Linked DNA regions of Macaca fascicularis. The protein of the gene in region 2 interacts with the protein of the main gene of each other region in a pairwise test. Links are inferred from orthologs where the notes say so. Each region holds a gene or a part of one and is shown on either strand. Other genes may lie near its edges.

Region 1 (5,632 bases), on a different chromosome or scaffold from region 2:
CCACTTCCTCTTGTCTGCTAGCTCATGGCCCGTCCCCTGCACTTTGTGTTACTGTGGAGATGAAGAATTTGCCCCATTCCACGTATACTACCTCATGAACAGGGGGCAGGTGTGGATTCTTGCTGGTTCTCAGTGGAAGGGTCTGGAAAGGCTGGTTTCCTTTTCAGTAGAGAAAGGAAAGTAGCGCACAAATAGGAAGATGGTTCTCTTATTATTATTCAAGTTAGGATATGTGTCCTGAATGATGAGGTGCATGTGCTGTATCCCTTATTCCCCCTGACTAGAGACTGCATGGGGTCCTAGTGGGCAGGGATGAGTTTCAGACAACTTTGCCTCACCTGGCCCGTGGGCCAGGAACCCCTGGTTCTTGGTTGGTCACTATGTTCAGTTATTGGGAGCTCAAAGGAGAAGGATCAGAGATGCTTCCTTGTCCCACTACCTATTGTAACATAACCAGCAGCTGTGAAAATCCCTGGGCACCTCCCCTGATAGCCCTGCTGCTCACCAGTTGCTGGCTGAGTTCTAATCGTGTGCAGCTGTTGCTGGCTGTGCGGTGACAGTATCTCAGGGGACTCCACCACTGCCTCTCAGACATGCTCCCTGGGAACAGAGCTTCTTGAGTGGCAGCTGGGACCACTGAGCACTGAGGAACGGGTGGCCGGAATCTGACCCCCATTTGGCACTTGTGTGGGTGGTGCCAGGACAATCATTTGCATGCTGGGCATGATGTGTTATGGTTTATCTTTGGGGTTCCTAGGGCACTGGCTTGGGTGAGATTTCCATCCGGTGGTTTTCTTTTTTCTTTTTTTTTTTTTTGAGACAGAGTCTCGCTTTGTCACCCAGACTGGAATGAAGTAGCGTGATCTTGGCTCACTGCAGCCTCTGCCTCCTGGGTTCAAGCAATTCTCCTGCTTCAGCCTCCTGAGTAGCTGGGATTACAGGCATGCGCCATCAGCTAATTTTTGTATTTTAGTAGAGACGGGGTTTCACCATGTTGGCCAGGCTGGTCTTGAACTCCTGACCTCAGGTGATCCGCCCACCTCGACTTCCCATAGTGCTGGGATTGCAGGCATGAACCAGCATGCCCGGCCTATCCAGTGGTTTTCTTTTGTGGTGTTGAGCTAGGAAAGGAGTTTACAGGAGCTTCAGGAAAAGGAAGACTGAAGAGGAGATAGGGCCATAATATTCGGAAGCTTCGGGCTTCCTGCCGGCCTTCTCAGTGCCGAGCACTGCCCTGGGGTAGGCCTGTCTCCTATTGCTGAGCACGCTGAGGACCACCAAGCCGCTGAGAGACTCATCCCTGACCCATGGCTTGGGAGATGCCTGTGATGCTGATGGGGTCTGCCAGGGACACTGAGGGAGACCCTCGGGCAGCGAAGGCTTGGCTGTTCCTTCTTGGGAGACAGGGGTCAGGGAGTCTTGGTGACCGGGGCCCGGCTCTCTAGTGGAGCAACCCTTTCGTGGAGGAACAGAGCATCTCATGCACACTCAGGGACACTTGCAAGCGGCAGAGTTTCCCTGTCACACGCCCTCAGCTGTTGGGGCTCCCCTCTGATTCCCCAGTGACTAGTGAGGACCAGGAGACCCCAGCTCATTCATCTCTTTCCTTTGTCTCCACAGCATACCCAGTGCTGGGACCGGGCGTGACCGTGAACCCTGGTGCCTCCCTGTCTGTGTTCACAGCTCTGCCCTTCGCCACACCCGCTCCTGGCCCAGCACATGGGCCACCCCTCGTGACGGCAGCGGTTCCTCCAGGCGGCCCTCTGGTGCTGTCTGCCTTCCCCAGCACACTTCTGGTGGCAGGACAGGATGGCCGCGGCCCTAGTGGGGCCGGGGCTTCCAATGTCTTTGTCCAGATGAGGACAGAAGTGGGGCCTGTGAAGCCCCCTCAGGCACAGACCTTGGTCCTAACTCAGGACCCCCTCGTCTGGCAGGCTCCAGGCGCCCTCTGCGGAGGTGTCGTGTGTCCACCTCCCCTACTCCTGGCAGCTGCTCCTGGGGTGCCCATTACATCTGCCCAAGTGGTTGGGAGCGCCCAGGCCTGTGAGGGAGGCTGGTCCCAGGGCCTTCCTATTCCACCACCACCACCGGCTGCCCAGATGCCTCCCATTGTGCCCCCAGGGAACACTGGGCCATGGCCAGAAGGGGCTCATGGAGAGGGCAGCCTGCCTCCCTCCCAGGCCAAGGCCCCACCGGATGACTCCTGTAACCTCAAGAGTGTCTATGAGAACTTCCGACTCTGGCAGCGCTACAAGCCCCTGGCCCGGAGGCACCTTCCCCAGAGTCCTGACACCGAAGCGCTTTCCTGCTTCCTCATGTGAGTGTCCTCGGGGCACTGGAGCTTGTCCTGCAGCTCACACGTAAAGAGGCTGCCGAATGGACAGGAGGTCACGCTGTTCAGGGGAGCTTGCAGGGCGATTGTGAGGGTGATCAGTTGTGCTATGGGAAGGTACATTTTCAGCAACATTAATCTGGCTGTGGCTCAGGACAGACTGTCAAGGGCCTCATGTCAACTGCCCGTCACTATCCCGTGAGTCCAGCCAATCCTTACTTTTTTTTGAGCCAGACTTTCGCTCTTGTAGCCCAGGCTGGAGTGCAATGGCGTGACCTCGGCTAACCACAACCTCCGCCTCCCGGGTTCAAGCAATTCTGCTGCCTCAGCTTCCTGAATAGTTGGGATTACAGGCATGTGCCACCACGGCCAGCTCATTTTTGCGTATTTTTACTAGAAACGGGGTTTCACCGTGTTAGCCAGGATGCTCTCAATCTCCTAACCTGGTGATCCACCCGCCTCGGCCTCCCAAAGTGCTGGGATTACAGGCATGAGCCACCACGCCCGGCTTTTACTTTCAATAATTTTCACAGCAATGTTTACGGAAGACCCAGGTCAGAGAGGGTTCTTGGTGCGACGTGCGCCACGGTTTGAGTTTAGGTCTTTTTGTTTGTTTGAGATGGAGTCTCGCACTGTCACCTGGGCTGGAGTGCGATGGTGCAATCTTGGCTCACCACAACCTCCACCTCCTGGGTTCAAGTGATTCTCCTCCTTCAGCCCCCCAAGTACCTGGGATTACAAGTGCCTTCCACCATGCGCAGCTAATTTTTCGTATTTTTTAGTAGAGACAGGGTTTCACTATGTTGGCCAGGCTGGTGTTGAGCTCCTGACCTCGTGATCCACCCGCCTCAGCCTCTCAAAGTGCTGGGATTGCAAGTGTGAGCCACCACACCCGTCCTGGGGTTAGGTCTTTGAGTGTACACCCCAGTGCCTTCCCTCAAATTGAGTGTCGATGGCCAGGGGCACGTCACATGGGGCTGGGGGGAGGAGTTGCAGGGCCCGGCGGGAACCTGGCATACGCCCGCAGTTCTGCCAGTGAGGTCCAGTGAACACCGCGGTGGTGGAGTCTGCACACGGGGATGGTCTTGGGCCCCGCACTAGGGTCGATGCTGGGCAGGTATTTGCATCTTCACCCTCAATCCTCCCTAGAAAAAAGGACAATGATGCTTCGTTCAGAGAATGGCGAACAGATGACTTGAGCTCACATATGACATGCATAGCATAGTGCCTGGCACATGCTATGACACATTACATGACAGCAATTATGATTACTGTCCCTACTACTATCATTATTAGGACTAGGCCATCTAGGAGAGTGCTCCCCAAAGCCACAGGCTCCAGTGATAGCTCTGAATACACCACGAGCCCAGCAGCCCAGGGCTGTGGACTATGGTGACTGTGAGGCAGCAACGTCAGCATCCGGGAGAGTTTGTGGTTTCATTCCCAGTCCCTGCCTCTCTCCACCCTGTGGCGCCTCTGTGACCCTGTGTTTCCCACTGATGAGCAAACGGGAGCTTGCAGCACATCCACCGTGCAACACACTGGCCGCTCCCCTTGGGAAGTCCCCTGCCTGGGGTGTAGGTAGAACACAGCCCCATCTTCCTCCCCAACAATCTCGCTGGCCCCGCACCCTGGTACTGCTCACATTCCCCTTTGGAGCAGAGTCCCGGTGCACTGGGGACCCTGATTCTTGGAGTGGAGCTGCCCCAGGCTCACAGGCCTTTGCCATGGCTCCTGTGGGAATGTGGGAAGCTGTACCTGGCTGCTTGCAGTGGGCTTGACACCGCTCTGCTTTGGTTCTGGACATGTGCTCCTGCTTCTCATGCTCCAGGACCCTGAGGCTACACCCCCAGGGGCTGCCTTACTCCAGAGTCCCCAGGAAGCTGGTGAAATGCTCAGTCCTGGGGCCCAGGAACCTGCACTTTAACCCTCACTCCCAGGTCATTCTGTGTGCACGTTGTCTCAGTCAGCTCAGGCTCATGCTGTCTCAGTCAGCTCAGGCTCAGCTGTAACAAATCCCATAGACTGGGTGCTTTATCAAGACACATTCACGTTTCCCAGTTCCAGAGGCCAGAAATCCCAGATCAAGGTGACAGCAGATTGGGTGTCTGGTCAGGGCCCTTTTCCTGGCTGGAGAAAGCTGCCTCGGCTGTGTCCTCTTGTGGCTGAGAGGAAAAGGCCTGGCATCTCCTCCTGCCCTTATCAGGGCTCGGATTCCATGACTGGGACCCACGCTCATGACCTGCTATAACCATGATTGCCTCCAAATACCGACACGCCGGCGCTCAGGGCTTCAGCACGGGAATGTTGGGGACACATATGTTCCACCCATAGTACTGAGCTCACTTCTCAACATCAGTGTGGAGCATGAGGAGGGTGTGGACAAACACCGAGGACTTGAGGGGCAGTCGGAGAGGCCACTCTGTAGCTTGTGTTGATGTTTGATCTTGGGGGTGTGTCCTGGGGCCTGAGGAGCCCACGTGGGGGAGAACAGGACATGGACAGATGGCAGGACAGGTATGGGGAGGACAGGGGCCAGGTGTTGGGACCAGGTGGGCTCGGGATGAAGGGTGGGCTTATAGACTGGGGCTGACTGCACTGGTTTACAGCCCAGTTCTCCGATCCCTGGCCCGGCGGAAGCCCACCATGACGCTGGAGGAGGGACTGTGGCGGGCTGTGCACGAATGGCAGCACACGAGCAACTTTGACCGGATGATCTTCTACGAGATGGCGGAAAAGTGAGTCTGGGGTCCTGGGGGCAGGGCCCACGGGGCAGAGTGAGACTGAATGACGGAGGCCTGGTGGCCGTGGTGGCTTCTCAGTGTGGAGCATGAGGAGGGTGTGGACAAACACAAGACGCCCTGGGCCCCTGGCTCCTTCAGGAAGCTGCTCCTGCCACCTAGAGTGCTCTGGGGTCTCTGTCCTGCCTGGCCTGGGGCCAACCCCTGCCTTGACACTGGAGGTCATGGCAGGAGCAGCCAGCGTCACAGCCCAGAGGGGGTCACCTCCAGCTGTGGGGATGGGGAGAAGGGGCGCTAGTGACTATAGACAGAGTGGGGTGCAGGCTCCTCACAACAGTGGCCAGAAGTCGGTTTTCTGCCATCCCAGCCTGGCCAGGGAGTTGGGTCAGAGGAGACCTGCGCCCGGGACACCAGAGACCCATCTCTGGCCTGACCGCCTTTGCTCCTGGGCAGTGCCCTCCGTGAAGACAGACAGACAGACAGCAGCCTCAGGGGAAAGGGGCCCTGTCCTCCGGGCTCAGCTTTTGCTTCCTCCCGACCAGGGGTCTCCCGGGCCTCG
Region 2 (5,632 bases):
TGGGTGGAAGTAGGCCTCTGTGGGGCCAGAAGTGCCGTGGGATATACCCTTGCTAATGAAGCTTTCACCTTTCACATTTTGTCTTACATGTAAAAGCAGTATTTTTTCCAAATGCGGGGCATCTTGTGCTCACTGGCTTCCTTGAAGCTCAGTGCTGCCACCTGCTGGATTGATTTTCTGACGCCTTTAGTTTCCGTCAGCTGAAAGACTAAAGGACTGAAGGAGAGGAGGGACTCCATTCATTGAACAAGCACTCTCGGAGAATGCCTTTTTTTTTTTTTTGAGACGGAGTCTCGTTTGTCACCCAGGCTGGAGTACAGTGTCCCAATCTCAGCTCACTGCAAGCTCTGCCTCCTGGGTGCAAGCGATTCTCCTGCTTCAGCCTTCTGAGTAGCTGGGACTACAGGCACATGCACATGCCACCACACCTGGCTAAATTTTTGTATTTTTAGTAGAGATGGGGTTTCACCGTGTTAGCCAAGATGGTCTCAATCTCCTGACCTTGTGATCCGCCCATCTCGGCCTCCCAAAGTGCTGGGATTACAGGCGTGAGCCACCGCGCCTGGCCGAGAATGCCTTTTTGAGCGCCTGGCCAGGTGAACAGGACAGGCAGAAGCGCCCTCGCTGGGCTGGTGTTCTAGCCAAATATCCTGTGACAGACCCTGTGAGCTAGTACCAGCCAGCCACACTGTTGCTGGTTTTGCTAGCCAGTGTAAAAGGGTGTGATCTGGTGATGGAGAAGCTTTTGGGTTTCGAAGCCTGGGCCTCTTTTATTGTGCCAGTGTGTCCTTTCATTCAGAGACCTTTTCCCCGTGAGTGGATCTAAAATTCCTGAATGGAAAACATGACTTGGAACTATTCGCAGTTACGAGAGAATTGTTGAAAGTATTTCCAGCCCTCCTCACCTTCTTCCTGCATATAACATTTTAATTATTTTTTTATTCAAAGGAAGTTAAGTCACACTTCTTTGTCTTAAGTAAGGCTGTTTTATTTGTTAGGGTTCAGGGCACATGGACTGTTTTTTTCTTTTTTTTTGAGACAGAGTTTCACTCTTGTTACCCAGGCTGGAGTGCAGTGGCGCAATCTCAGCTCACTGCAACCTCCGCCTCCTGGGTTCAAGTGATTCTCCTGCCTTGGTGTCCCGAGTAGCCGGGATTACAGGCATGCACCACCACGCCCAGCTACTTTTGTATTTTTAGTAGAGATGGGGTTTCTCCATGTTGATCAGGCTGGTCTCGAAATCCCAACCTCAAGTGATCTGCCCGCCTTGGCCTCCAAAGTGTTGGGATTACAGGTGTGAGCCACCGTGCCCAGCCTGGACTCTTTATCTTACAAACATCTTCAGAATGAGAGTGACTGATGGCCTGTCCCTGTTTGGTTTCTTCATGTTGTCCTGGTGCCCATCAGTCATAGGGAGGGGTCTGTTCCAGGGACACGCAGTGAGGAAGCTTGTTACTCTGCAGTCCCTGAGGAGTGCTGCCGGGACAGTGGTTCTCTCAGGATATCGCTTATATGGGCAGATAGCCTTCGATTTGCCAGGTTAGAGCCTTTAGCCGGTCCATGTGCTCTCTGTCCCTCCCAGGTTTGGAAACGATGTGCAGCACTTCAAGGTGCTCCGAGACGGAGCCGGCAAGTACTTCCTCTGGGTGGTGAAGTTCAATTCTTTGAATGAGCTGGTGGATTATCACAGATCTACATCTGTCTCCAGAAACCAGCAGATATTCCTGCGGGACATAGAACAGGTGCCACAGGTAAGCCTCATCAGGGTGAGATGGGATCATTTTAGAAATTAAGAATAGCTCCTCAGTGTGCATTCCTGTGGGAAGGGGGAGGTGACCCTCAATCAACATGCAGGCGCCCTTCAGGGATTGCCACTGGGGCTTCTGTGCTCGTTACTGAACACGTTACCTTCCATTCACACTAAAAATTTCTTGTTTCTGGCCCAGCGTAGTAGCTCATGCCAGTAATCCCAGCACTTTGGGAGGCTGAGGCAGGCAGATCACTTGAGGTCAGGAGCTTGAGACCAGCCTGGCCAACATGGTGAAACCCTGTCTCTACTAAAAATACAGAAATTAGCCAGATGTGGTGGCGCCCACCTGCGCTTGGGAAGCTGAGATGGAAAAATCGCTTGAACCCAGGAGGTGGAGGTCACAGTGAGCTGAGATTGTACCACCGCACTCCAACCTGGGTGACAGAGGGAGACTCCATCTCAAAAAAAAAAAGAAAAAGAAAAAGAAAGATTTGTTGTTTTAAATATAGGATTTTTGCTTTTCCAGAGGCAGTGTGTAGCCAGCTTGCCAGTCTCTCTAGGGAGATGGTCTTTAACACACCCACCCAAAGATCCTGTCCCTGGAGGCAAATTATGAGGAAAACTATGCTTGTGAGGGAGTGAGGTCGGCACCGTTCCTGTCCCTCGAGCCCTGGTCATAAGTTACAGTTAGAGTCCCTTATGTTATGCGAGCTCCAGAATTTTAGGCTCTAATATCTTAAGGGTGTGGTAGAAGGGATTTGCAGATTCTGGGCCCACAGCCTAAACACAGACGGCTGTTTCTGAAGAACTTTCCCCTCCAAGCACTGCCTGCCCTCTACTTGATAATATGGCACAGTTGGCCACCCTCCTCTGGGAGACATACTCTAGCATTTTCTGAGCACTGGGAAAGATCACACTAAACCCGCTTGGCCTGTAAACTTAGAAGAGGTAAGAATAAATGGGGGGTTGGGAGATGGGAGGTGAGTTTAGAAAACATGGAGAATTTGGCACGCATTCGTTTCCCCCTGGAACCCGTCTGGCCTCGGAGGTGGCCGGCCACAGACCAGGAATGCAATATGGGTTTTTCCTGCTCCTGTTTTGCAGCAGCCGACATACGTCCAGGCCCTCTTTGACTTTGATCCTCAGGAGGATGGAGAGCTGGGCTTCCGCCGGGGAGATTTTATCCATGTCATGGATAACTCAGACCCCAACTGGTGGAAAGGAGCTTGCCACGGGCAGACCGGCATGTTTCCCCGCAATTACGTCACCCCCGTGAACCGGAACGTCTAAGAATCAAGAAGCAATTATTTAAAGAAAGTGAAAAATGTAAAACACATACAAAAGAATTAAACCCACAAGCTGCCACTAACAGCAGCCTGTGAGGGAGTGCAGAACACCTGGCCGGGTCACCCTGTGACCCTCTCACTTTGGTTGGAACTTTAGGGGGTGGGAGGGGGTGTTGGATTTAAAAATGCCAAAACTTACCTATAAATTAAGAAGAGTTTTTATTACAAATTTTCACTGCTGCTCCTCTTTCCCCTCCTTTGCCCTTTTTTTCATCCTTTTTTCTCTTCTGTCCATCAGTGCATGACGTTTAAGGCCACGTATAGTCCTAGCTGACGCCAATAATAAAAGACAAGAAACCAAGTGGGCTGGTATTCTCTCTATGCAAAATGTCTGTTTTAGTTGGAATGACTGAAAGAAGAACCACTCTTTCTGTGTTCTTCGTATATACACACAAAAAGGAGCGGGCAGGGCAGCTCGACACCTTTGCTGTTTAACTTCCTCCAGAGGAGGGGGCTTGTAGGAATCTGCCTTCCAGCCCAGACCCCCAGTGTATTTTGTCCAAGTTGGCAGTAGAGTGGGGTAGAAGGAAAGCATGTCGCTGCCTCCATGGCTTCCCTAGAAAGCCTGCCTGGGCCGGGCAGCGTGGTGGCTCACGCCTGTAATCCCAGCACTTTGGGAGGCCAAGGTGGGTGGATCACAAAGTCAGGAGTTCGAGACCAACCTAGCCAACATGGCAAAACCCTGTCTGTACTAAAAATACAAAAATTAGCTGGGTGTGGTGGCATGCGCCTGTAATCCCAGCTACTCGGGAGCCTGAGGCAGGAGAATCACTTGAACCTGGGAGGTGGAGGTTGCAGTGAGCCGAGACCATGCCATTGTACTCCAGCCTGGGTGACAGAGCGAGGCTCCATCTCAAAAAAAAAAAAAAAAAGCCCTCCCAACAGCCTGTCTCTTTCCACTTTGTTGGCCCTTCCAGTGGGATTATCGAGCATGTTGTTTTTTCATAGTGCCTTTTTCCTTATTTCGAGGGTTGCTTCTGAGTGGTGGTGTTTTTTGTTTTTGTTTTTGTTTTTAATTTGTTTTGTTTTAAAATAAGTTAAAGACAGTCCAGAGCTTTTCAGCCAATTTGTCTCCTACTCTGTGTAAATATTTTTCCCTTGGGGCAGGGTAGAGCAAGGGAGACAAGCAGGAGTACAAGGTGAAGCATTCTCCTGCTTGTACTAAGCCAGGAGGCTTTAAGCTCCAGCTTTAAGGTGTGTGAGCCCCTTGGGGGTTCAGGGAACTGCTTGTCCAGGTTGCAGTGTGAGTGTGACGGGCCACCGGGGCAAGAGGGAAGGTGACCACCCAGCTCTCCCACATCCCACTGGATCTGGCTTACAGGGGGTTGGAAGCCTGTCCTCACTGTCTCAGGGGTTGTGGCCCCCACCCCATCACTATATGCACCCCTGGAACCAGCAAGCCCCAGACAAGGAGAGCGAAGGAGGAAGTCATGGGAACGCAGCCTCCAGTTGTAGCAGGTTTCACCTTATTCCTATGCTGGAGTGCACAATGAGAGTACTCACTTCTCACCTGTCTTGCTCTTAGATTGGGCTGTGGCTTTCATCCTGTGTCCTCTGACCTGTCCAGATGAGCGTGAGGGCAGCATTGGGAAGCCAGAGTGCTGCTTGTGCCTCCCTTGCCAGTGGGCTGTGTTGACTGCTGCTCCCCACCCCTACAGATGGTCCCAGGAAGCAGGGAGAGTTGGGGAAGGCAAGATTGGAAAGAAAGACCAAGGCCTCGGCAGAGATCTCTGTCTTCTCTCCACTTCTGGTCCCCTGTAGTGATGTGCCTGTAATCTTTTTCTCCACCCACTCCCCTTTCCACGACAAAAACAAGGCTGCCTCCCTCTCTCCAGAGAGTTGGTGACAGTTGGTCCTCTCGGTCCCAAAGCGGCTGATGGGAGTCTCCCTCCGACTCTGAATATGAACAGGGCCTGGGCCTGGAGCATTCGCTGTGCCAGGAGGCGGCAGCCCTTCTGGGCAGAGCCTGTCCCTGCCTTCCCTCACTCCTCATTCTGCTTCTCCTTTCCTCGCTGATGATAAAAGGAATCTGGCATTCTGCACCTGGACCATTTGATTGTTTTATTTTGGAATTGGTGTATATCATGAAGCCTTGCTGAACTAAGTTTTGTGTGTATATATTTAAAAAAAAAAATCAGTGTTTAAAGAAAGACCTATGTACTTAATCCTTTAACTCTGCGGATAGCATTTGGTAGGTAGTGATTAACTGTGAATAATAAACATACAATGAATTCTTCACTTGGTATCTTTTTTTCCCCTTGTCTGCCTTAAAAATTTAAAAACCGCCTTGGGGAGTCAGGAATCTTGGGTCCTTATTTCAGACTCCCAGCTTACATCCCCCTAGGGGAGCATGTGGGGCTCACAGGCCCTCCTGGGAGCGATGCCCATAGTTAGCTGTCAGGAACTCCTGGGGAGCCTATTAATAGTACAGAATTGCAAACCGCCCCCCATCCTTGGACATTAACTTTGAGGACACAGACATGCCCCGCTGTTTCTGATGTAGAGAAACCACTGACCACGCTTTGGGGACTCTGGT

The links. The genes of interacting proteins can lie anywhere in the genome.
Region 1: the proteins of GRB2 (region 2) and NUTM2F interact in a two-hybrid assay, tested with the Homo sapiens proteins (2 studies listed by BioGRID). The two-hybrid records come from large-scale screens. The link is inferred for Macaca fascicularis from reciprocal best matches to the Homo sapiens genes GRB2 and NUTM2F.

What each region holds. Positions count from the first base shown.
Region 1 is NC_088389.1:124,458,455-124,464,086, reverse strand, and holds part of NUTM2F (NUT family member 2F), read left to right. Parts: coding exon 1-140; intron 141-1,620; coding exon 1,621-2,317; intron 2,318-4,941; coding exon 4,942-5,070; intron 5,071-5,632.
Region 2 is NC_088390.1:81,721,415-81,727,046, reverse strand, and holds the end of GRB2 (growth factor receptor-bound protein 2), read left to right. Parts: intron 1-1,582; coding exon 1,583-1,751; intron 1,752-2,854; coding exon 2,855-3,040; 3' UTR 3,041-5,334; downstream 5,335-5,632. UniProt on the Homo sapiens protein: Non-enzymatic adapter protein that plays a pivotal role in precisely regulated signaling cascades from cell surface receptors to cellular responses, including signaling transduction and gene expression.